3 linked regions of the Canis lupus familiaris genome follow. The protein of the gene in region 2 binds, or shares a complex with, the protein of the main gene of each other region. Links are inferred from orthologs where the notes say so. Each region holds a gene or a part of one and is shown on either strand. Other genes may lie near its edges. The genes, in order: COA1, SURF1 and SMIM20.

What was found.
Region 1: SURF1 (region 2) and COA1 share a complex: the UniProt entries of both Homo sapiens proteins name them as parts of the MITRAC (mitochondrial translation regulation assembly intermediate of cytochrome c oxidase complex) complex. The link is inferred for Canis lupus familiaris from reciprocal best matches to the Homo sapiens genes SURF1 and COA1.
Region 3: SURF1 (region 2) and SMIM20 share a complex: the UniProt entries of both Homo sapiens proteins name them as parts of the MITRAC (mitochondrial translation regulation assembly intermediate of cytochrome c oxidase complex) complex. The link is inferred for Canis lupus familiaris from reciprocal best matches to the Homo sapiens genes SURF1 and SMIM20.

The regions. Positions count from the first base shown.
Region 1 is NC_049239.1:6,612,650-6,620,644, forward strand, and holds the start of COA1 (cytochrome c oxidase assembly factor 1 homolog), read left to right. Parts: upstream 1-3,696; 5' UTR 3,697-3,715; exon of another isoform or gene 3,716-3,951; intron 3,952-4,131; exon of another isoform or gene 4,132-4,216; intron 4,217-6,094; coding exon of another isoform or gene 6,095-6,106; exon of another isoform or gene 6,107-6,121; intron 6,122-7,995. UniProt on the Homo sapiens protein: Component of the MITRAC (mitochondrial translation regulation assembly intermediate of cytochrome c oxidase complex) complex, that regulates cytochrome c oxidase assembly.
Region 2 is NC_049230.1:49,840,904-49,848,784, forward strand, and holds SURF1 (surfeit locus protein 1), read right to left. Parts: upstream 5,062-7,881; 5' UTR 5,016-5,061; intron 4,715-5,015; exon of another isoform or gene 4,581-4,714; intron 4,210-4,580; 5' UTR 4,076-4,209; intron 3,996-4,075; 5' UTR 3,942-3,995; coding exon 3,913-3,941; intron 3,410-3,912; coding exon 3,218-3,409; intron 2,516-3,217; coding exon 2,443-2,515; intron 2,361-2,442; coding exon 2,198-2,360; intron 1,957-2,197; coding exon 1,875-1,956; intron 1,799-1,874; coding exon 1,729-1,798; 3' UTR 1,607-1,728; downstream 1-1,606. Other genes in the region: RPL7A (60S ribosomal protein L7a), read left to right, coding at 1-19, 221-300, 591-721, 1,023-1,092, 1,211-1,315; SURF2 (surfeit locus protein 2), read left to right, coding at 5,320-5,397, 5,479-5,690, 6,104-6,207, 7,663-7,851. UniProt on the Homo sapiens protein: Component of the MITRAC (mitochondrial translation regulation assembly intermediate of cytochrome c oxidase complex) complex, that regulates cytochrome c oxidase assembly.
Region 3 is NC_049224.1:85,086,138-85,093,997, reverse strand, and holds the start of SMIM20 (small integral membrane protein 20), read left to right. Parts: upstream 1-3,806; 5' UTR 3,807-3,883; coding exon 3,884-3,992; intron 3,993-7,860.

The sequences.
Region 1 (7,995 bases), on a different chromosome or scaffold from region 2:
GAGTTTGCAGTTTTTACCTGTAGGAGGGTTGCTTCAATAGGAAGTACTTAGCTATTACTAGAAGAAGAATCCTATTTATTTATTCATTTCTAATGTCTATAGGATCTGTGATTTCTTTTCTCTCATTTCTGGTATTGGTAATTTGGTCTCCCAACCTCTTTTTTTGATTGATCAGATCTGTAGCTAGATGTTTACTAATTTAACGCTTTAAAAGAAACACATTTTCTATTCAATTAATTTCCAAAAGTATCTATTTCCGTTGCTCTTTTGTTTTCTTCCTCTTAATCCCTTAAGGTGGAAACTTACATAATTTAGGTTTTCCGTTTTTTCTAATATAAACATATAAAGCAATAATTTTTCCCTCTAAGCGTCACTTGCACTGTGTTCTACACTTTTGGATATGTTTTTATTTTTATTCAGTTCAAGATATTTATCCGCTTCCTTGTGATTTCTTCTTTGACTCATAGGCTATTTTAAAATATGTTAATTTCAAAATATTTGGAGCTTTCTCAGAAACCTTACTATTATTAATTTCCAATTAAATTATATATTAAATATATTATAAATATAAGTTAATTATGTCACATATAATTGCATTATAGTCAGACAACATATTGAGTGATTTTAGTCTATATTTAAATTTGAGATTTGTTTTATGAACCCCATAAAAGTGAATATTCTATGCACTTAAACAAGATATTTTGCTTTTTACAAAGTGTTCTATAAATGTCAATAGGTCAAGTTGGCTGATAATGTTTTTCAGTCTTCCATACACTTACAGTTTTGTCTAGTTCTATTAATTTCTGAGACATGAAGGTTAAAATCACCCATTGTAATTTTTTGTTTTTCTAATTCTCTTTTCACTTTTGGTTTCACATATATCAAACCTCCGCTATGCTGCATACAAGTTTAAGATTGTTATATCTCTTGATGACCTAATCTCTCTATCATCATAAAATGTTCCTATTTTCCACAACCAGCATATTTGGACAGACACAACTTTGATAACCAAACTATAGAAGATCCATGCAATTCCCCACAATGTATAGAACAAGCATAGACTTTGGATTAAAGGTGATATTCTATAAAAGATAAAAAAGAACTTTTCCAGGGTTAAAAATCAGGATATCACAGGGGGGTTTGTTTGTTTGTTTGTTTGTTTATTTATTTATTTATTTATTTATTTATTTATTTATTTATTTATTTATTTATTTATTTATTTATTTATTTTCAAATCTTTTTTTTTTTTTATTGGAGTTCAATTTGCCAACATACAGCATAACACCCAGTGCTCATCCCATCAAGTGCCCCCCTCAGTGCCCGTCACCCCCACCTCCCTTTCCACCACCCCTTATTCGTTTTCCAGAGTTAGGAGTCTCTCATGTTCTGTCTCCCTATTACCCACACATTTTCTCTCCTTTCCACAGGGAGATTTCTTATAAACAACCTAGTCAGTATTCAATTTCATGATGATAGTATTTAAGATTAAGAAAGAACACTGATTCCAACCTAGCTAATGTGAATTTCATTAGTGTCTCTGAGGCAAATATTATCTAGTTTATACCTACTTTTATGACAAGATGTAGGGGCATGCTCAATGCTTTGTGTCAAAATTTTTCCTATTCTCTTAGTAGCTGGGCACTTCCTTAATATGATAAAAGATAAAAGATTTACCTTAGTCTCCCAAGCCAGTAGCATACTTAATGGGAAAGTTCTAGAGATGTCCCGTTAAAGGTAGAATAAGACAAAGAAGCCTATACTATGTTCACTATTATTAAATATTTTTATTGGAAATAACTAGCCAATACAGTTAGATATGACAAATTAGTGGTATAAAATTTGGAAAGGATTTTGTCATCATCTCAATGACATGATTGTAATGATAGAAAATCTAAAAGACCCAACTCCAAACAATAAAATCACTTAGTTAGAATATTAATAAGCAGAAAATGATACTTTCGTGTATATGAACTACCATACGTAGAAACTCTAGTTTCATAGTTCTAGGCTGCTGCTGAGAGAGACACTAGACACGGTGGTTCCATCCTGTTGCTGTTAAGTGCATTTCTTAAAGCAACCATTTGACCACTTAATATCACCCCACAACTGACAGCACTCTAGTCAACCGTCTCTCATCTCTCCACCTCCTACCCCTGCCCTGGATCCTTAGAAGTTAACAGGTAGCAAAACAGATCCTTTCCTTATATATAGGAAAGACAGAAAGAGAGAGAGAGAGAGAGAGAGAGAGAGAGAGAGAATCCAGATAAGGATACTTGTGGCTCTAAGAAGTAGAATCCCTGTCTCAACAACAATAGCTAATAATTTTGGGCACTTACAACATTACTAGCGCTACCTAAACTCATTTTATCTTCACCTCTATCAGAAAATAAGGAAACGTATTAGATATCCCCATAAGAACTTCAGAAAGAGGGTGAGCTCCAGGTTTAAACGACATGAGATTACACTTGACTAGTCCGGTCATGTAACACATCAAATTTAGGGGACCCACCAATGCCGAGACCCTACTTTTTTGGAGGAAAGGTACCTGGACTTCAAACTTACGTGAAAAGAAAAAAAAGTCAATAATGATGGTAATAGTGGCGATAATCATGTGGGAAACAAAGGCAGAAGGAAAATTAATTCCCTCCCTACTTGCAGCCCATTGACGAGTCCTTGAAACGGGCGGAGTGACATTCTTCTACGGGCTCAGCGGCCCCCATGTTGGCTTTGCTAAGGGCAAAAGGGCAACCTTGGCCTGACCCGCCAGGACCCTGCAGGTCTTCTTTAACATATAAAAATTCCTTTGGAAACTTCCTTTATTTTTATTCTGGAGTCAAGATACATGTTAGCAACCATCTTCCAAGCACAGGACCTATGGATACGTATCTGGCGGGGGGGTGGGGGGGGTGGGGTGTCTTATGATCAATGTTTTCTTTTTTTATCTTTTTTTTTTAAGATTTTATTTGTTTATTCATGAGAGACACACACACACAACACGCAGAGACACAGGCAGAGGGAGAAGCAGGCTCTACGCAGGGAGCCTGATGCGGGACTCGATCCCACGACCCCGGGGTCACGACCTGGGCGGAAGGTGGCGCTAAACCGCAGAGCCACCCGGGCGCCCTAAGGGTTTATTAGACAATAATATATGACCTTTTCCCAACAATAACTAACGCCTTCAAGGTCCTGGCAACCTTGTTTCCAGAATTCCTTTGAAACTTACAGACTTAGAGACTATCGCCCCCCACCCCAAGTTGAAGGTGTATAATTACTACCCCTCACGACCCCATGCAGCTTTCTGTCCACAGGTCCTGTCAGTAGACGTTTAATGAAAACCACCTCTTGGGGATCCCCGGGGGGCTCAGCGGTTAAGCACCCGCCTTCGGCCCAGGTCGTGACCCCGGGGTCACGGGATCGAGTCCCGCGTCGGGCTCCTGCGTGGAGCCTGCTTCTCCCTCGGCCTGGGTCTCTCTCTCTCTCTGTGTCTATGAATAAATAAGTAAAATCTTAAAAAAAAAAAAAAAAACCCAAACCCACCTCTTTTGCACGGAAGTCCTCTCAAGAATTCTTCCTCAGCCGAGGGCTTCCCAGGCCGCCATCCTCCTACGCGGTGACGGCAGGACGACCAACAGGGCGGTGGGCACGGCTGCGGCGTACGACCGCGGAGGCCCAGACGCCACCTGAGCGCTTTACATCCTTGGAACAAACGCACCGGGTAAAAATGCTGTTACCGTTCCTCGCGCTACTTAACTCAAGTCGTCTACGTTTTTCTTTTTTTTTCTTCTTCTTCTTCTTGCCCTCGCATTCCCTGGAGCGCCGTAGGCATTTCGCAGCGATTGGATGGATAAGACTGTCGTGCTGCCGTGTGTCAGGCGAAGGCGGCGAGTGGGCTCCGCGGGGGCTGCCGCAGCGGCGCGGCGCGGGGCGGGACAGAAGGGCGGGCTCTGCGGGGCCCACCTCGCTCCCCGGGCGGGGCCGAGCGTCCGCGGCGGCCTCGGCCCGCGACTCCGACCTGGCCCGGCGTGCCCCGCCCCCGCCCCCGCCCCCGCCCCCGCCCCGGCGCGTCCGGACGCTCTAGCCCGCGGGGACGCCGCGCCGGAAGTCTCCGCTGCTCCTCGCGGGGCGGGCCGGCCTGGGGGCGCGCGTACCCGCACTTCCGCCCCCGGAAGGAAGGCAGGCGCGCGCTTCCTGCGGCGCGCGGTTGCGGCCCGGAAAGGTCAGCGCCCCCGCGGCTCCGAGCCTCGCGTTCCTTTCACCCTCGGAGACGTTTGTCGCCGCAGCCTGCACGGTTGCGTGTGTGTGTGTGTGTGTGTGTGTGTGTGTGTGCGCGACGGGGCTGCCGGCGGGGGTCTCCTCCCGGGGCTTGGTCGCGGGGGCAACCCGCCTGCTGCCTGCGTGGTGTCGGGGCCCCTGTGGGCGCAGCGCCCTAGGAGGCTGCAGGGGGCTGCCGGGTGCTGCAGGAGGCTGCCAGGGGCTGCAGGGTGCCCCCCTCGCCCGCCTGCCCCGGGGTTCGGGGGTTCGGGGCCGCCAGCAGGTGGCCCTGCCCCGCCCTAAGCTGCCCTACCCTGCCCTGCCCTACCCTGCCCTACCTAGCCCTGTCCTACCCTACCCTGCGCTGCCCTACCCTGCCCTACCCTGCCTGGCCCTACCCTACTCTACCCTACTCTACCCTGCCCGGCTGGCCCTGCCCTACACTGCGCCGCCCTACCCTACCCGGTCCTACCCTACCGTACCCTACCCTACTCTGCGTGGCCCTGCCCTACACTGCGCTGCCCTACCCTACCCGGTCCTACCCTACCCTACCCTACCCTACCCTGCGTGGCCCTGCCCTACACTGCGCTGCCCTACCCTACCCGGTCCTACCCTACCGTACCCTACCCTACTCTGCGTGGCCCTGCCCTACACTGCGCTGCCCTACCCTACCCGGTCCTACCCTACCCTACCCTACCCTACTCTGCGTGGCCCTGCCCTACACTGCGCCGCCCTACCCTACCCGGTCCTACCCTACCCTACCCTACCCTACCCTGCGTGGCCCTGCCCTACACTGCGCCGCCCTACCCTACCCGGTCCTACCCTACCCTACCCTACCCTACTCTGCGTGGCCCTGCCCTACACTGCGCTGCCCTACCCTACCCGGTCCTACCCTACCCTACCCTACCCTACCCTGCGTGGCCCTGCCCTACACTGCGCCGCCCTACCCTACCCGGTCCTACCCTACCCTACCCTACCCTACTCTGCGTGGCCCTGCCCTACACTGCGCCGCCCTACCCTACCCGGTCCTACCCTACCCTACCCTACCCTACCCTGCGTGGCCCTGCCCTACACTGCGCCGCCCTACCCTACCCGGTCCTACCCTACCCTACCCTACCCTACTCTGCGTGGCCCTGCCCTACACTGCGCTGCCCTACCCTACCCGGTCCTACCCTACCCTACCCTACCCTACCCTGCGTGGCCCTGCCCTACACTGCGCCGCCCTACCCTACCCGGTCCTACCCTACCCTACCCTACCCTACCCTGCGTGGCCCTGCCCTACACTGCGCCGCCCTACCCTACCCGGTCCTACCCTACCCTACCCTACCCTACTCTGCGTGGCCCTGCCCTACACTGCGCTGCCCTACCCTACCCGGTCCTACCCTACCCTACTCTATCTACCCTGCGTGGCCCTGCCCTACACTGCGCTGCTCTACCCTACCCGGTCCTACCCTACTCTGCGTGGTCCTGCCCTACACTGTGCTGCCCTACCCTACCCGGTCCTACCCTACCCTACTCTACCCTGCGTGGCCCTGCCCTACACTGCGCTGCTCTACCCTACCCGGTCCTACCCTACCCTACCCTACTCTGCGTGGCCCTGCCCTACACTGCGCTGCCCTACCCTACCCTGCCCTACTCTACCCTGCCAGGCCCAGTCGGCCCTGCCCTACCTTGCCCTACCCTGCCTGGCCCTCCCCTCCCCTGCCCTACCTGGCCCTACCTGGCCCTGCCCTACTCTACCCTACTCTACCCTGCCCGGCTTGGATGGCCCTGCCCTACCCTACCCTGTCCTACCCTACCCGGCCCTACCCTACCTTGCCCTACCCTGCCCGGCCCTGCGTACCTGAGAGCACATTTGTGAAGAGTGGGGCGTCCCCTCTGAGCGGTGGAATCGGGCACTTTGTTGATGGTCCTGAGTTACAACCCTGTGAGGAAGACCCTGCCTCGATGATCATAGAGAAGAATTTTCTGACAGTTGGTCATGGTGACTTTAGTCCCCATCACTCTTGAATTCCATGCAGGGTTCTGACAGTAGAAATGACTAGATTGTTGGAGACAAGGACATATGAGCATGTGTGAGCGTCAGTCGGTGTGTCGTGTATAATATTAAAAATCCGTAGATTCTTACACTTTGATACTTGTTCCTTGAATGTTCCTCATTCTTACTTGTGCTTTATTTCTAAGGCACTTTTTTCCCCCTCTATTTCATATTTGCATAGAAGTAACAAACCGGGCAGCCCAGGTGGCTCAGTGGTTGAGCATCTGCCTTTGGCCCAGGACGTGATCCCGGGGTCCCAGGATCCAGTGCTAGGTCGGGCTCCCTGCATGGAGCCTGCTTCTCCCTCTGCCTGTGTCTCTGCCTCTCCTCTCTGTGTATTCTTGTGAATAAATAAAATCTAAAAAAAAAAAAAAAAAGTTAACAAACCTCTGCTTAAACTCTGCACATAGAAAATCCATCTGATCGTGTTATTCCCATGCTCACAATCTTACCGGCCTTCCTGTTGATTCAGGGCAATGCGGATTCCTTAGCCCGGCTTCCAGACCTTTCAAGGTCTCCTTGCTGATGCTGAGTTTTTCAGTCTCCTTTGATGGAAAATACGCCAACACACACACCATATGCTCCAGCTACAGTATGTAGCAATTTCATTACTTTGGGTGTGACAAAGTTTTGCAATGGTTTACCTGCCTTTTGAAGTTTATTTTTCCATTTTGTCAGTTTATTGAATTCCTATAATTGCCAGGGACTGTCCTAAGAGCTAGGGATACGCTAGAAAGAAAATCCTTTTAAGAAGTAACAGCTTAATTGAGATAATAGTTCACATACCTGTAGCATTTACCTGTTTAAAATATACATTGAGTTTTAGTATATTTACAAAGTTGTGCAGTCTGTAATCAATTTTAAAGTATTTTCATCACCCCAGAAAGAAGCCTTGACCCATGAGGAATCTTCTGATTTTTTCCCCTACTCCCCCGAGCTCCTACCCCTATGCAGGTACTAATCTGCTGTCTATATATATGCCTATGCAGGCATGTTGTAACTTGTATCAGCGCTTCATTCCATTTTACTGCTAAATAGTATCTCATTGTATGGATATACTACCCTTTATCCATTGGTCCGTTGGTAGACCTTTGAGTATTGGCCATTATGAATACCGCTGCTAGGAACGTTCATGTCCAGGTTTTTGTGTAAACATCATCATGTTTTCATTTCTCTTGGGTATATACCTAAGATTAGAATTGCTCAGTCATATGGTAACTCTATGTTTCACATTTTGAGGAACTGCCAGACTTTTCCAAAGTGTCTATTCTGTTATATTCTGATTGGCGGTATATGAAGGTTCTAATCCTTTCATGTTGTCGCCAGCACTTGTCATTACCTGTTTTTTTTGTCTTTTAAAGATTTTATTTATTTATTCATGAGAGACAGAGAGAGGCAGAGACACAAGCAGAGGGAGAAGCAGGCTCCATGCAGGGAGCCTGACTTGGGACTCGATCCCAGGTCTTCAGGATCACGCCCTTGGCTGAAGGCCAGTGCTAAACCGCGGAGCCACCTGGGAGGGTAGCCCTAGATTACTTTTTAAGCAATTACTGCAACCAACGTGGGGTTCAGACTCACAACCCCGAGATCAAGAGTTGCATGCTCCACTGACTGAACCAGCTAGCTACTCCTGTAAGAGTTCTTTGTATATTCCAGGTCCTGTATCAGACATGTGACAAGTCTTGTAGATTGTGATATAATTCTTT
Region 2 (7,881 bases):
CCGCCTGTCCTTCGAGCTGGTGAGTGGGCCCCTTCTCCAGGGGTGAGTGGTGGGGCCGGCTGTTGACAATGATGCAGGAATTTCTTCACCTGGAATCTCTGTGAAGAGTAAAATCGAGCTTTTTAACCCTGAGTCACAGCCGGGCCCAGAGTAGTAGGATGGCTTTTGTGAACCTAGCAGCCCCCACGGACTGCTCAGGCTAATGGGTTCTGTGTCCTAGGGGTTAACACTGTCACCACCTTGGTGGAAAACAAGAAGGCTCAGCTGGTAGTGATAGCTCACGACGTGGATCCCATTGAGGTACGTCGAAGTATCCACTATCGAGCCTAGATTGGGTCTTTATGTTGGTATCGGGAAGGCTAAAGCTGAATGTTGTCCGGCACGTTGGGCCAAGGTGGGGTGACCGCTTTCTATTGAGGACGGTACTGACGAGGGATCCGCGTGATAGCCATTACGATGATGTGGATTTCTTACTGAATTAAACCTTGAAGTGCAAATCCAGGAGTTTAATCCTCAGCAGTTGTTACAGAGTTAGGTTTTAAGTTACCGTTTCGGTCAAAATACACTCTAGAGCTAACTCTGTCTTCCAGCTGGTTGTCTTCCTGCCTGCCCTGTGTCGTAAGATGGGGGTTCCTTACTGCATTATCAAGGGGAAGGCCAGGCTGGGGCGTCTGGTCCACAGGAAGACCTGCACCACTGTCGCCTTCACACAGGTTAACTCGTAAGTATGCAAGATGGCTCCAAACTCCCAACAGCCAGTGGAGGTCAGGGACCCCCCCATACACCCAGTTCCCTTAATTTCTTTAGGATTTTACCTTAAAGATCAAACGTCATACTTTTCTAAAGGAGCGTGTCTGTCTAAATCTTTGCCAATGATGGTTACGAATTTCTTCACCTGAACCAGCCATGTGGTCATACTGTATCTGAGGCAAAGGGCTTGTTGGGTCAGCAAGTCCTCCCTGGTTTTTGGAAGGTAACTGAGAAGAGAAGCTAATGACCCAGATTTTCCCCTGCCTTTTTAGGGAAGACAAGGGAGCTCTGGCTAAGCTGGTAGAAGCCATCCGGACCAATTACAATGACAGATACGATGAGGTAAGTCATTGGTGAGAGGACTGGCTGACTCTGCCCTCCTAAGCACTCCAGTAGAAGACCGCATGAGCTAGCATAGTGGGAGCCTCGACGGCAGATGCTGACCCCTGTGTCTTTGCAGATCCGCCGCCACTGGGGAGGCAATGTCCTGGGTCCGAAGTCAGTGGCTCGCATCGCCAAGCTGGAAAAAGCAAAGGCTAAAGAACTGGCCACCAAGCTGGGCTAAGTGGACGCTGTTGAATTTTCTGTACATAAAAGTAATAAAAGGTTCTCTTTCAGTGAGAGTGTCAGTGGGTATTTGGGGTTGAATATACTTGATCTTGTTACTTAAGTTAGAGTTGTTAAAATCCAGGATTTGGATTTGGTGCAGGGCGGGAGTTGGGGGAAGAAGACGTGCTATGTGGGGGGGTGCAAGGTGATGGTTCTGAACAAGCAGCTCACCCACACATTGGTACATGGTACTTGAACCCACTGATTATGATCAGATCGTTGCATAGGTAGAAAAGGCAGGCACGGCATGTGTACTGTATGGATTTATTCATACCACTCATACCTAACCCACGTAATCTTTAAAAAGAAAGCTTAGAAAATCTGTGACTTAGTGATTATTCAGGAGAGGAGCGGAGCTACTTCAGTAGATCATACACCAGGAGTCCGACGTAGGAATTTCTTAAACCATAGGTAGGATGTAGCTGCACAGAGGCCATACCTTGGTTGGGTTGAAGAGATGAGCAGTCAGGGTTTAGAAGGGGAAGAGGAGGGAACAGCCAGAGGCAGGGACTTACCAGGTGAGGATGTACTGCATGTGTTCATTCCTCAGAGTGACTCGCGTTTGCCCTCCAATGGGTCCCCCGGGGACTGTGCTCTCTGCAGAGACGGTGGGTTTAGTGTCCACAATCCCTAGGGCAGTTTGGCCAGCTGTCTCCATGGGGCCTTCCAGAGCTCTTTAGAGCTGTCAAATTCAGTGAGGCCTTGGACCTGTAACTAGACCCTGTGGCCTCCTTTCCTTAGTGCCCACCAGACACTCCTCCCACACGCTAAAATGCAGACAGCAGGAAGTAACGGCCATGTCCAGGGCTGAAAGAAAGGCAGGCCGCCCACAACGTACGGAAGTCTGCATCGATGAAGATGGGGTCTGCGCCTGTGAGCCTGGCCATTGCCTCCAGGTCCCGGTAATGCCAGTGGTTCCTTTCTGGGTTGTTCTCTGGGACAAAGGGCTTCCTGGTTTCTGTCAGCCTCACCATCCCAACTAGGTCCACTTCTCCCTCAACCTACAAAGGAAACCAAGACTGTTCTTCAGGGCTGGCGGTTTCTAGACAGCCCTGCTTACAAGGGAAGGTTCAGGCTCCTCACCTGGCCTCTCTGCCGTGTATCAGGATTCACTTTCTTCCTGGGGACAAACCCTCTGTTGACCAGGATGGTGACTCTGGAATAAATAGAAGTATGCTCTCAGGGCGGGAAAGGATCTTTGAATAAAGATTATCACTGGTCATCCCTATGAGAACAAGGATGGTGTCTGAGATGGTTTAAGACGAGGCTAGCCTGCAGGTACGCCACTGGGAAGGTCTTCCTTTCTCATGCAGGTGTGCCCACCCCCCATCTCCACTTCCCTGTGCCTCAGCCACTGCAACACCCAGGTTTCGGATAGCAGCTTCTCTGAAGAGCAGCTGCCTTCTGGACCTGCCTGTGGGGTCGCAGAGACCCTCCCACACCCGAAGCCAGGAAATTGCTCTGGCTGAGCTCACAGTGCCCCCTTGCTGGACAGGTTGTTTCCCTGGACTGCCCTTCCCCTCCTGACTCCATTTGTGGCCCAAGTGGTCACCTGGGAACCCTTCCCTGATTCCACCCAAGTGAGGGTTTGGTTCCTTTCCTTTCCCTTCCCTCAGTCCTCACACAAGCCCCCACCTCGTACTGCACTATGATCATTTAGTGTGTTGGCCACTACACAGTCTCCAAGGTGGCTGATTTCATTTGCTTCAGAGTTTCACACAGATGAATGACTCAGGAAGAGCTGAAATGAATGGGCTTAGCGAAGTCAAGTACTAATTCCAAACTCTTAAGGAAACTGAAACCTTCTGGGTCTCTTAGATTTCCCCAAGGTTGCTTCATCCCTGCATGTCCCACTCACCCCAGGTCAGTGCAGTGAAAGGGGGTAATGACATAGGCACCACTCTCGGGCGAGGAAGAGAGACGGCCGGCCTCCCGGGCCTCCCTGGCTGGGTCCACCATGGTCCGAGGCATCATGTACAGCTCCTTGGAGTGGTCGAAGTGCCCCCTGACCTTCACCGGCCTGTACTCCAGATTTTTCAGTTCCATTGGGCTACATGGGAGTGGGGAGAAGTGAGGCTGAGACCAAGCAAGTTTTGGCAGGACATTCAAATCCTTCCAGGCCTGCACACTATTACAAATACAGCACACACGTCTGCTCCCCTGAATGGGAAGCTCTGTGGACTGTTGCTCCAAGACAGTGCATTGAAACGAGGGGTAGACGCTGTAGAATCATTTCCAGCACTCTTTCAAGATAACGCTCTGATGTTAAGACATGACATGAGGGTACACTCTGCCCTCCTTCACCTATCAGGTAAGAGTCACTGCTATAGGGGGCCCATCAGCACTGTGGGGGATGCCTCAGGTACAATGCATCTCAAAAAAAAAAAAAAAGGTAAAATCCAGGATCAAAGATATTTTTCTAAGTTTGTCAGGACGCCCAGTAAGGTAACTTGATTTAGGGGCTCCCATGTGAGGGTCAGGACTACAAGCAGAAGCCAGGCCCCCACTGCTGACCAAGTGAGACCAGTTACAGGTGGGCAGCTGCACACTCACTCTGCTGGCAGAGGGATGGGCTCAGCCATAACTCGAGACTCCAGCTCTGCTATCAGCTGCAGCTTCCACTTTCGACGCTGGACCTGTGGGAACAGTACAAACCCGAGCAGATGGCAGCAACGGCAAAAGCTCAGAGCCTCCAGAGCTAGAAGTCAGGCTTTACCTGCCATGTCCCCAGGCCAAAGGCTGTCACAGGAATGAGAAGCAGGAACCACTGGAGGAAGGAGTCCTCTTGTGCTTCTGTGGCAGGTGCTTCAGCTGCAGAACTGCCACACCTGCTTGGCCTCCAGGCCAACCCTGGGAAGTTCAACACCACAGGCCCAGGGTCAGAAGCCCTTGACAAATAGAATGGGAGCAGCCAATCCCTCAAGGAGACGCCACCACTACTGCCAGACAGTAAACAGGCCACAGCCTGTGGCCAGCAGCCAACCAGTGACACCTGCGTCCAGCCCAGCTTCTAAACTGGGGCCACACGCTGCACACTCGGTGATGTTTACTGACTGAATAAACACGGCCTAGGGCTTAGTCCTGCTGTGCCACCAGCTGTGACCCCGGGTAACTCCTGTAACCACCTGCGCCTTTTACACAACAATTCCCTGCGCACTATGTGCACATGTATTACATTGTGCACGACATTGTGCACAACAATACATTGCACTAAGACGCACCCGCGCAGAGGCAGAACCGTGAAAACCCGGGATCGCGGCTCACGGCTCACGGCGCTCGAACACCTTCCTTTCCACTGCTCGTAAACTTAAAGCTGGAACAACGTACTCAGAAAGTATATTTTAGTTGTCGGAGCGTGAGTCTCAAGTCAGCAACACGGGCTTTGTGGACAGTTTAAAAAAAAAAAAAGGCTGCAGCGCGCTGACGAGCACCCTTCCCCCTCGCGCGGCGCCCCGCTCCCGGCTGTCGGTGCACGCGCAGCCCGCAGGCCGCGGGTCCCAGGCTCCCGGCCTTCAAACCCCATCAGGCGCTGGAAGGGGGCAGCTCCGAGCTCCCCTCAAGGCCGCGGCCCCCGGGCAGAGCGGGGGACGGGGGCGGGGACGGGGGCGGGGGCGGCTCTTCCCGGGCGCCCGGGGCACCCGCGAGCCAGTCCTCACCTGGGCGCAGGGGGACCGCAAGGACGCTCCTCCTGACCGCGCGGGGCGGGCCCTGCGGAGACCGGGACACAGGCTGAGCTCCCCAAGCCGGGACGCTGGCCCCCAGCCCGCCCGACGCGCCCGCGCCGCTCACCCGCCCCTCCGCCGCCGCCGCCGCCGCCCGCAGCCCCAGCCACCGCACGGCCGCCGCCATCGCCCGCCGGCACTTCCGGGCCGCGAGGCATCTGCTTCCGGGGCACCGCCGAGCCCCGCCCCCGGCGCACGGTCCACGCGGTGCGAGCGGCGCCCGCCTGCGGGTCTGACCATGGGCGAGCCTCCGGCCGCCGTGCGCGCCTTCCTGCGCCAGCACCCGAGTCTGCGGCTGGAGCCCGGCGCGCACAAGGTCCGCGGGCCGGGGGAGAGGCGCGGCGCCGCGCGGCCGCCCGGGCCCCCCTGACCGCCTCGCCCGCCCTCCTGCCCGCAGGTCAAGTGCGTCCTCACCGGCCACGAGCTGCCCTGCCGTCTGCCGGAGCTCGAGGTCTACACCCGCGGCAAGAAATACCGGCGGCTGGTCCGCGCCAACCCGGCCTTCGACTACGCGGAGTTCGAGCCGCACATCGTGCCCAGCACCAAGAACCCGTACGTGCGCGGGGCCGCTGCGGGCGGGCTCCGAGGGGACGTGCCCACCGTGGTGAGGTACCGACGGCAGCCGACAGCCGGGGGAGGCCGGGCCCCTCCCCGCGGCCTGTTTGCTTCTCGTGGGGCCGAGGTCTGTCCCTTCGGGTTCGGAATGGGGCCAGTTTCACATACCTAGGGAGGACTTGGGTGGAGCCGCCGCTGTTTGCGGGCAGGGGCTGACAGGAAGAGGGCGCTGGGGGCTGCTGCTTCGCGCTCGGCCGGGCCGCCGCGTCTTCCCGCATCCCTGGAGCGGGGGCGGGCCGCTGAGGCTGGCCAGGCCTGGGTTCCAGGCCAACCGCGGGAGGTCACAGCCCGGCCGGACCAGTGCTCGTCCGCCTCGGCTGCAGAGGGGACCGCCTGCTGCCCAGGCCCCATCCTAGGCCTCTGCTGTCAGGCTGGCTGAGATCCTCATGACTGTCCCTGTCCCCCAGGCACCAGCTGTTCTGCAAACTCACCCTGCGGCACATCAACAAGTCCCCAGAGCATGTGCTGAGGCACACCCAGGGCCAGCGGTACCAGAGAGCCCTGTGTGAATGTAAGTAGCCGTGGGTGGACACGGCCTGCTCTCTCCTCCAGGACAAGCGCCCTTGGAAGGCAGCAGCGGCGTCTCAGTCACCCACTGGCAGCCGCTGGTGGTGCCCTGGGCCCAGCCCTGGGGAGGCATGGGGCTGGAGGTGGGGATGAAGCAGGCGGCTGGTGACTGCTACGTGCTGTGAAGGACGGGTGCCGAGGGCTGTCTGTGGAGAGTAGAGGCAGGGATTCAGCCAAGGTCAGAAGAACGCTTGGCTGCCGCAGCTCCTGAAGGACGGCCTCCATGCCACCATGCAAGGGGAGGTCAGTCAGCAAGGGAGGTGGAGACGACCACAGGGGGTCTTGGAGGCCATGGCCTGGACCACGGGAGGTGGAGATGCATTGAAAGGACAGAAGCAGGGCTGTGGCACCACCACTGTGGGTAGGGAAGATGCGGACAGGCAGAACTGTCTGTGGCTAGAATCAGTAGGTGAGGGAATGAGGTCAGAAATCACCTGGATTCCTCAATTCCTGGCTCAAGACCGGCGGTTTGGAAAGTGGCCTCTGGATAAGAGACCCCCTGAGGAAATGAAATGTTCCTTTCAACCTGTGTCGGGGGACGGTGGCTATTGAAGTCGGGCCAGCGCTCAGAGGGTGCACATCACCGACACGGAGCGAAGGAAGAAGGGATGGGGCTGGGCCTGACCACGAAGGAGCCCAGAAGGGTGAGAAGAGCCAGGTGGAGGGGTCAGGGGCAGAAGTTTTAGGAGTGCTGGGACGACCAGGGGCTTTGGGGACAGACACAGAGACAGGATAAGGAAGAGAACTCTGAAGGCGGGGTTTCTCCCAGGAAGAAACGAGGCACAGTCTTCACCTCAGGACAGTAGTGAGGGATGCTGTGGACAGCTGAGAAGCAGGCATCCTACGCGGGTGCAGAGACTGAGGGCTGCTTGGTGTGGGCGGGAAGGAGGTCCTGGGTTTCCCCACAGGCTAGACTCATCCTATGTTGGGGTAGGTGGTTCATAGGTCCAGCGGCTGGGAGTGCAGAGAGGAGACCCGGGTGCAGAGCCCAGTGGCCACAAGGCCCTGTGGGGCAGAGGTGAGGCAGAGGATATGTCCTTGGAGGAGGGCAGAAGCAGACATCAGACCAGGGGGCCCAGTCCCCTCCCTCCTCTCTGAGGGGCCTGCATGGACAGGAGCCATGCCCACACAGGGCAGGGTTCAGAAGCCAGGCTCGTCGGTGCCACCCTGCTCCTCATCTCGGCTCAATCTGGATCTGCCACGCTGAGCTCCTGGCCTCACTGAGTCCTCTACATGGGACCTTGTGGCTCCGGCGTGAGGGCCCAGCAGCCCTCCCTGGGGCTCCTGAGGCCAGGGAAGGGCTGGGGGGTTCAGTGCTCAAGGCCCCACCCCTGCATGGCCCTACACTGGAGGACAGGGGCAGGCACAGAACCAGGCAGTGTGCTGGTCTGTCTTCCAGATGAAAAGTGTCAGAAGCAGGGTGTGGAATATGTGCCCGCCTGCCTCCTGCACAAGAGGAGGAGGAAGGAAGCCCAGATGGACGGCACTGGGCCACCTCACTCAAGAGAAGCCTTCTGGGAACCTGCATCCAGCGAGGACGATGCAGCTGCCAGTGACAGTGAGGACAGCATGACAGACCTGTACCCACGTAAGTGGGACTGCCCCCCCCACCCCACTT
Region 3 (7,860 bases), on a different chromosome or scaffold from region 2:
AGAGCGGATTAACTTTGATGTCTGTCTGAACCCCATGTGAGACACCACTGGTGGTCTGCTCCCTGCAAGCATGCAATCTTCACATCCAAGGGAAGAAGGAGAAAGTGCCAGATAGGAGCCCAAACCAATTTTTTTTCCCTCAGTGATTGAGATGAAAATATGCACCCTAGGACTGCTGACATATTTGACTTGCAGCCTGTCTCCTCCTGTACCCGGAGCTCTCTCCCCCTTTGCACAAATACCTTCCCCTAGGTCCAAATTTCCTTTGGCTCTTGCACACAGCTAGGAAGCCCCAAGCCCCTGGTCTTTGTTACGTGTGGCAGGTAATTGTGGACTTTCTGTATCTGTTAGGTCTTCTGCTGGTGTGCAACCGAAACAGACTCCAACTGAGCCTGGAGGGGAGCTTACTGGACGTATATGGGCGGCCTGCAGGATATAATGAACAGCCGAGAATCAGACTGCAAGGGGCAAGAAGAGAATCTCTGGGATTACAGGTAAGTGGAAGACAAGCGGTCATCTCATCGGGACATTAGCAGTGCGAAGAAATTCACCGCAGTAGTGTTGCCTGTCTCTGGGTTCCCACGTTCACAATTCTTATTTCTGGGAGAAAAGGAGCAATTGGACGTGGTTGGAATTGTACCCACACTCAGACAATATGAACTCACTGACTTTGCGAGGCAGCATACACTGGTGATAATGCAGGTCTCTGGAGTCAGCGGGATGGGATTTGAATCCTGACTCTACTATTTAGTGGCTCCTGGGCTCGTCATTCTTGCTCTGCCCCCAGCTTCTCCCTACACAAATGGGGAATCAGGAGCTAATATTCAGCAAGGTTGAGTGACCAAAAGCAATTACGACCCACTGCCTCGTCATATCCCTCTACCACACCATAGGTGCCACGAGGACAACAGACTCTCTTGTGAATTCGCTGCTGGCTGCATCCACCAGCCTTTGAAATGTGGCTGGCACACGGTGCTTGGCTCAGTAAACCTTTGTCAAATACACAAGTGCTGATGCTTCCTTTTTGTGTTCCCAATCAACTAGTGCAGTGCTTGGCTGGAGTCGGCACACAATAAGGATCTGCCGATTGAATCTGTAGGTCAGTGGGGTCTTCAGAAACGGGGAGAACCTGGGGTTCAAAGAGATGAACCTGTATTGCTTAGGACTCAGTGGCAAGCAAGAGGTAAGTAATTTTTGGTGTGACGATGCTAGCAAGGTGATGAGTGTGTCTGTATAGGTTGTGGCCTGGCCGCTGGTCAGACTAAAACGTTTACATGAACATCAGGGGACAGAGAAGCCCTGCGGTTACTTGCTGCTTGGAGAGGGGGTGGCTCATCTGTCCCACATTAATCCATCTGTGCCTTGGAGGCACTGCGGACAGGAGGTCATCCTGGCGGTCTCTAGCCTGGCTTTCAGAGGCTCCTGTGTGTAGGGCTCATGCAGCCACCCTGCCAAGCTTGCTTATGGAGACGGCCAGGTCTCAGGGAGGAGCCTGTCAGATTAGGAATGAAGACTAAACCCTGGTCCTGGCTCAGCTAATGGTGTGTGGCCCTAAGAGAAGTTTCTGGATCTCAGTGACCTGAGCTATAGAGTAATCCTTGACTTGCAGCCCGTGGATCTGTCAAGGAAACGAAATCCCACTCGCGGTGACTTCATCTGGAACTCCTGTTGTAAACAAAAACAAACAAACAACAAAACAAAACAAAATAAGTCAAACTGGCTTCAGCGAAAAGGGAACTTCATTGGCTCCTATCACTGAGAAGTCCAAGGGCAGCTCCTTTTCCAGGCACAGCCCGCTCCAGGGGCTCAAAGGTAATGTCAGCACCTGATTTCTCTCCATCTCTCGGCTTTGCTTCTGCTGTACTGTCCTCACGCTCAGTCTCCATATGGTGGTGCCCAGTGACCCCAGCGTCTGATCCCCTCAAGCTCAAATCCAGATTTCCAGCAGCTGGGAGACACTATGGTTGGCTCAACGTGGGTGAGGTCATGCAGCCAGGAGGATGCGGCTTCGCTGGACGACCAGGCCTGGGCCCTGTCCCAATCAATCCCTGTGGTGTGGCAGCTTGGTCACTCTTGGCGATCCCCTGACCTCTCAGAGCTGGAAAAAAAAAAAAAAATCATTGGGGTGGGGGTGGGGCAGAGGAGAAGCCCAGTTTACCTCCTCGACTGAATGGGAGAGGAGTGGTTTGCCAAGATGCTCGGGTGCTATTAACAGGAAGACAAGTGGCCTCCCGGTTGCTAACATGACAAAGGCGCGCTCACCTGGGGTTTTATATCACGGGACACAAAGCATATGCATCCCAGCTCCCCTCTCTGCTGGAGGAGTCCTCTGTTCTCACCCTAACAAGCCCCCGCAAGCCCCGAGGAGCTGCTGCCAACCCCTGTAGTCATCTGTCTTCCTCCTGGAAGTCCCGCGGCCGCAGGACCCTATCACTCATCCGCAACAAGCTGCGCCGCCTCCTCAGTCATCTTTTTCTGTATCTGTCCTGTCTCTATCCACGTGGCAGGATCCCGGGGAGCAAAGGGTCACGGCTTATTCATCTTTGCGTCCCTCGGAGCACTTTGCCTGGTGTTTGGGGTACGGCAGAGGGTCCATAAATCTGCCGACGGATCCAACACCTGATTTATCTGCTCGCGGAACCTCGGAGGCAGACGGTAGCTTGGCTCCGCGACAACGCTCCACGGAGAGGACACCTGTGCTGAAAGACCGTACGTCTCTGCAGACTAAATAATACCGCCGGGGTCCGGATGACTAGCCTCTTGCTCCCGGCCCGGGCCGCTGGTAGCATCCTTATTCATAAAGGGTTGAGTGAAGGCCCAAGAAACCTTGATCTCCGCCGCTCCGTACCCCTGGGCACCTCGCCTGCCCCCACAGCGCCGCCTACCCCCAGGAAGGACGGAGGACGGCGACCCTAGGAAGGGGAGGAGCACGTCCAACCTCAGCGGCCCCACCCCAGGCAGTAAGGCACAGCCCCAAGGTCCCATCACTGGGACTGGCCGCGGGCTCCCCGCCTTGCCCGGATCCGACTCCTTCCCCATCCTCATTCGCAACCCAGACGTGCAGCAGAGGGAACGGAGCGGGCAGGCGGAGGCAGGACGGATCTACTTGCCGTCCCGACGTTGACACGAGACTCCTCCCCCCTAGTCCTGATCCCGTAGTCCCGGTGCTCGGGTTAGACGCCCCCTGCAGGCCATCCGGGGCGGGCGCGCGGCCCCGGGCCCCTCACCCCCTCCAGCAGCCCTCCAGGAGGCGCGGTCACTCGTGAAGCCGCGCTTCCCTCACCTGTAAAATGGGCCCACAGCCGGGGGGACTGAATCAGCGAGCCGCGGACAGCACGCAGCTCGGGGCGGAAAGTCACCGAAATCAGATAAGGGTGGGGAGAAGGGGAAAGCGCGGCTGGTCGAGGGGAAAGGGTGACCCAAGAGGTCCGGAGAATGGCGGGGGGAGCAGCGGAGGGGGGGCCGGGCCGCGGGCAGGGCGGGGGTTGGAACAGGGTGTGCACCGCCCAGGGGAGCAAGAGTCCCTCTCGGCCGGCCCAGCCCCCAGCACCGCGGCCGCCGCTCCGAGGCCCCGCCCACCCACAGGCCCCGCCCCGTCCACGCTGTAGGCCCCGCCTCCGGCCCCGCCCACCCGCAGGTCCCACCCCAGGCTCCGCCCACCCCGACGGGCCCGTCCCTCCCACTCTGCAGGCCCCGCCCCCGACCCGCCCACCACGCAGGCCCCGCCCCGAGCCGGCCCACCCGCAGGCCCCGCCCCCGTGCCCTGGCCCCGCCCCCAAGGCCCGGAAGCGAAAGCCGCTCCGCCTCTTCCGAGCGGGGTCACGGCCCGGCGCGCGGGGTCTCGCGGGGTCTCGCGGGGTGCGGGCAGCCCGGGCCCAGCGCCATGTCCCCGAACCTGCGCACGGCGCTCATCTTCGGCGGCTTCATCTCCCTGCTGGGCGCCGCCTTCTACCCCATCTACTTCCGGCCCCTGCTGCTGCCGGAGGAGTACCGTGAGTGCCCTGTGACCCCGCGGGGGCCCGGCCTCGGGGCGCCCGGCTCGGGGCGGTGAGGAGCTGGGCGCGGGGGGCAGGCGGGCCGGGCCGAGCCCTGCGCCGAGCGGCCGCGAGACCCCGCGCCTCCCCCCGGGCGCCCTCCTGACTTGCCCGGTCGTCGCTAACGTGAGACCCGTTTGGCCTCCGTGGAGACTCCCAGGTGGCCTCGTCGTGGTCCGCAGCGCTTACCTGTCCGCGCTCTCGGGGAGCAGGGGCCGGACGCTCACGTGCCAGCCAAACGAGCGTTGGCACTTTTTTTTTTAAAGATGTATTTATTTATTCACGAAAGACACACACACTGAGTGGGGGGGGGCGGGGAGCAGAGCCGCAGGCCCTGCCGCGGGGTCACCCCCCCCCCCACAGCCCGAGGCAGGAGCCCCAAGCGTTGCCACTTCTGACGCCCACGGCGTCGCTTTGAGGTCGTCGTCATGCCCATTTGACAGGCGGGAACACTGAGGCTCCGAGAGGTCGTGCGACAGGCCCAAGGTCGCACAGCCAGTGAGCTGCGAGGCAGGTCTTCCCTCCCCGGAAGGCGGGGCTGGTGATACTGGAGGGAGGCAGATGGAGCCCTGATCATCCTGAGCCTGAAGGTGTCTTTACGGCCCTTCGTTGCCACTCCCAGGGACAGCTTTGAGTGGAAATGTTTCAGACCTACACTGTTAAACCTGGGTGTTTTGAGTTTTTCCCCACATCTTTTTTTCAGCTCCTGCTGTCTTCCTTCATTTTAAAAGCGGGTTGCTCACATGACAATGCCCAATACCCCGGGAGTAATTTTCCTCCTTAATCATTCAAGTTCTATCATCCTAAAAGCCAAACTCTCCTTCCTGGAGACCTATACCTCAGCGAGGATTAGCACTTTGATACATCTGAAACCATCTGTCAGAGAGAAAATATTAGGCATTAGAGGCTCATTTTGTTCTCCAGGAAACCTGAATCATCTTGAAGATGGAAGAGGGCCAGCCCTGCCCCTGGAGACCATTAGCAGAGGCTGAGAGCTTGGCGATGTGAAGGCAGCAGCTCTGTGTAAATGCTCTGCCCGTTACAAATGCTACATTTGGTTTCTGGAGGCAGAGCATTTTAAGCACACACCCGCATTGCCCTGGAGCTTCTTTCATCACCCAGGACCGAGGTGGCCTCTGCATGCTGCCTCCCAGCCTGCGTCCACCTACCCGTGTGCCTGAGGATAAACGGGGGGGCGCTTGAAGCCCCGCGTGGTCTGGTTCCGTCATCCTGACCCGATCCTGCCCCAGGCTGTTTTCTTACTAGGGCATCTAGGATTGAACTTGGGACAAGGGGCTCTGCTCCAGATCCCACTGGAAAGGTGTCTGCCAGGAAGACAAACGCAGTGCCTCTCAGCTGGGGATGCTTTTGTCCCCCAGGGGACATTTGGTTCCATCTGGAGACATTTTTGCTTGTCACAGCTGGGGGTGGAGTGGGGTAGTGTGAGTGTGCTACTGGCATCCAGTGGAGAGAGGCCAGGGATGCTGCTAAACCTCCGCAGCGCACAGGGGAGCCCCCCATGACCTAGATTACCCAGCCCAGGTGTGCATGGTACCAAGCTTGAGACATGCTAGATCAGATGATGAAGGCGTGGACTTGTGCCACGCGTCCTGGCAAGTCTTTTTTTTTTTTTTAACTTTTTTTTCAAATATTTATTTATTCATGAGAGACACAGAGAGAACGGCAGAGACACAGGCAGAGGGAGAAGCAGGCTCCATGCAGGCAGGGACCCTGATGCAGGACTCGATCCCGGGACCCCAGGATCATGCCCTGGGCCGAAGGCAGGTGCTAAACCGCTGAGCCACCCAGGGATCCCTCTGACAATAGTCTCATAGGGATACCCTAGAATCTGTGGTTGTCTGAGTTGCTTGAGACAAAATCAGGGCTTTTAGGTGCATGTTTACTGAGTGTGCCTAAAATGTCTGCATTTTAACTCGAGAGCAGTCAGTCTATGCCTGCCCACCTTTCTGGCTCAGTTTTAGTTAATTGGCCGACTCTTATTTGAGACTCATAGCTGATTCTTTCAACAGGTAAATACTAAACAGCTAGTGTTTTTTGAGAGTTTATGTCTGCCTCTCTTCCCAGCACCTCATATATATATTAACCCACATAGTTTTCATAACCATTTGTTGTAGCTGCTGTGTGATCATCACCCACATTTTATACGTGGACACACTGAGGTCTGGGACAGTTAAGTGACTTGTACAAGGACCCACAGCAGATGGGTCAGACCTGGGATTGGAACCAATGTGCTCTTTCACTACACGAGGGCACCATTTGGTTTCTGAGGCGGTGAGAAGGGAAGCAGGGCAGGTGAGGGTCTAAATCCCTTGCAAGATAAGGGTCTTAAGGTGAGTTACGTAACCTGCCTGAGCCCAGTCTGTTTCTTCATCTGTAGCAGTGGACTTTGCAGGCCTTAATCTATAGGTGTTGGGTGTATTAAATGAGATCACAGGTATGGAAACATCTAGTATAGTTTTATATTAGGCATCCCCTAAAAATGTTTAAAAAAATAAGGAACCAGGGCACCTGGGTGGCTTAGTGGGTTGAGGATCTACCTTTGGCTTGGGCTGGGGTCCTGGGGTCCTGGGATTGAGCCCCACATGGGGCTCCAAGCTTCTCCCTCTCTCTGCCTGCCGCTCCCCCTGCTTGTGTGTTTGTATGCGTGAACACACACTCTCTCTCTCTGTCAAATAAATAAAATCTTAAAAAAAAAAAAAAAAGAGGAGCTATAAGGCAAGGATGTAAGGAGATTTAAGCCCGGCTGGCTGACCTGTCACTAACCTGGGGTCCAGGCAGGTGAGGCATTGGTGACCGGGCCATGGAAGCCTGGCCTGTCTGTAGGGAGGATGGAGCTGCAATTCATTTCAGCACCTTGGACTAGTCTTTGCATTTTTTATAACCTGGATTTTAGCAACGGCTGTGTACCTGGTACTGCGTTAGGTGTCGGGTATACGTGACTGTACAAGATGGTCAGAGCGCTTCTGTCCGTCTCACTGTCCCCACCGTCATCCAACCCATTTCCTTCACCCGCTCCTTAGACTCTGAGCTGGTCTCCCTGCTTCTGCCAAGCCCAAATCCTGATTCCCTACCCAGCAGTCACAGTTGCTAATTTTCTCTGGTTGCTCTTTTGTTGCCAATTTCTACTTTACTTGCATTTGTGGTTAAAGAATGAGGACTATATGATTTTGATTCCTTGATATTGGTCAGGATTTGCTCTGTGGGCTTAATACAGGTCAATTATGGAAGTGTTCCTTCTGTGCTTGAAGTGGGTATATCTCATTGTTGGGTACAGAGTTCTGTGTGCACCGATTCCAGACCAAGCTTCTTAATTCTGTTACTTAGGTATCCTCAGGCCATATTATTAGGTGCACACGATAGAGAATGTTCTGGAGACTTTTTTCCAATTATCATTGTATAAAGGGTCCTCTTTATCCCTCCTGTTCCTCTCCAGGTCTATCATATCAATATTAGAATTACCAGCATTGTTTTGGTTAGACTTTCCTGGTATATTTCTTATATTTGTGCCTGTCTGTCTGTCTGTCTTTCTTTCTTTCTTTCTTTCTTTCTTTCTTTCTTTCTTTCTTTCTTTCTCTTTCTTTCTTTCTTTCTTTCTTTCTTTCTTTCTTTCTTTCTTCATTCATTCATTCATTTATCTATTTATCTATTTATTTAAAGATTTTTTTATTTGAAAGACAGCAGGGGGAGGGGCAGAGGGAGAGGGAGACAAGCAGACTCCCCCCACCCCCACCAGAGTGGGGAGTCCAATGTAGGGCTCGATCTCAACCCGCAGATCATGACCTGAGTCGAAATCAAGAGTCAGATG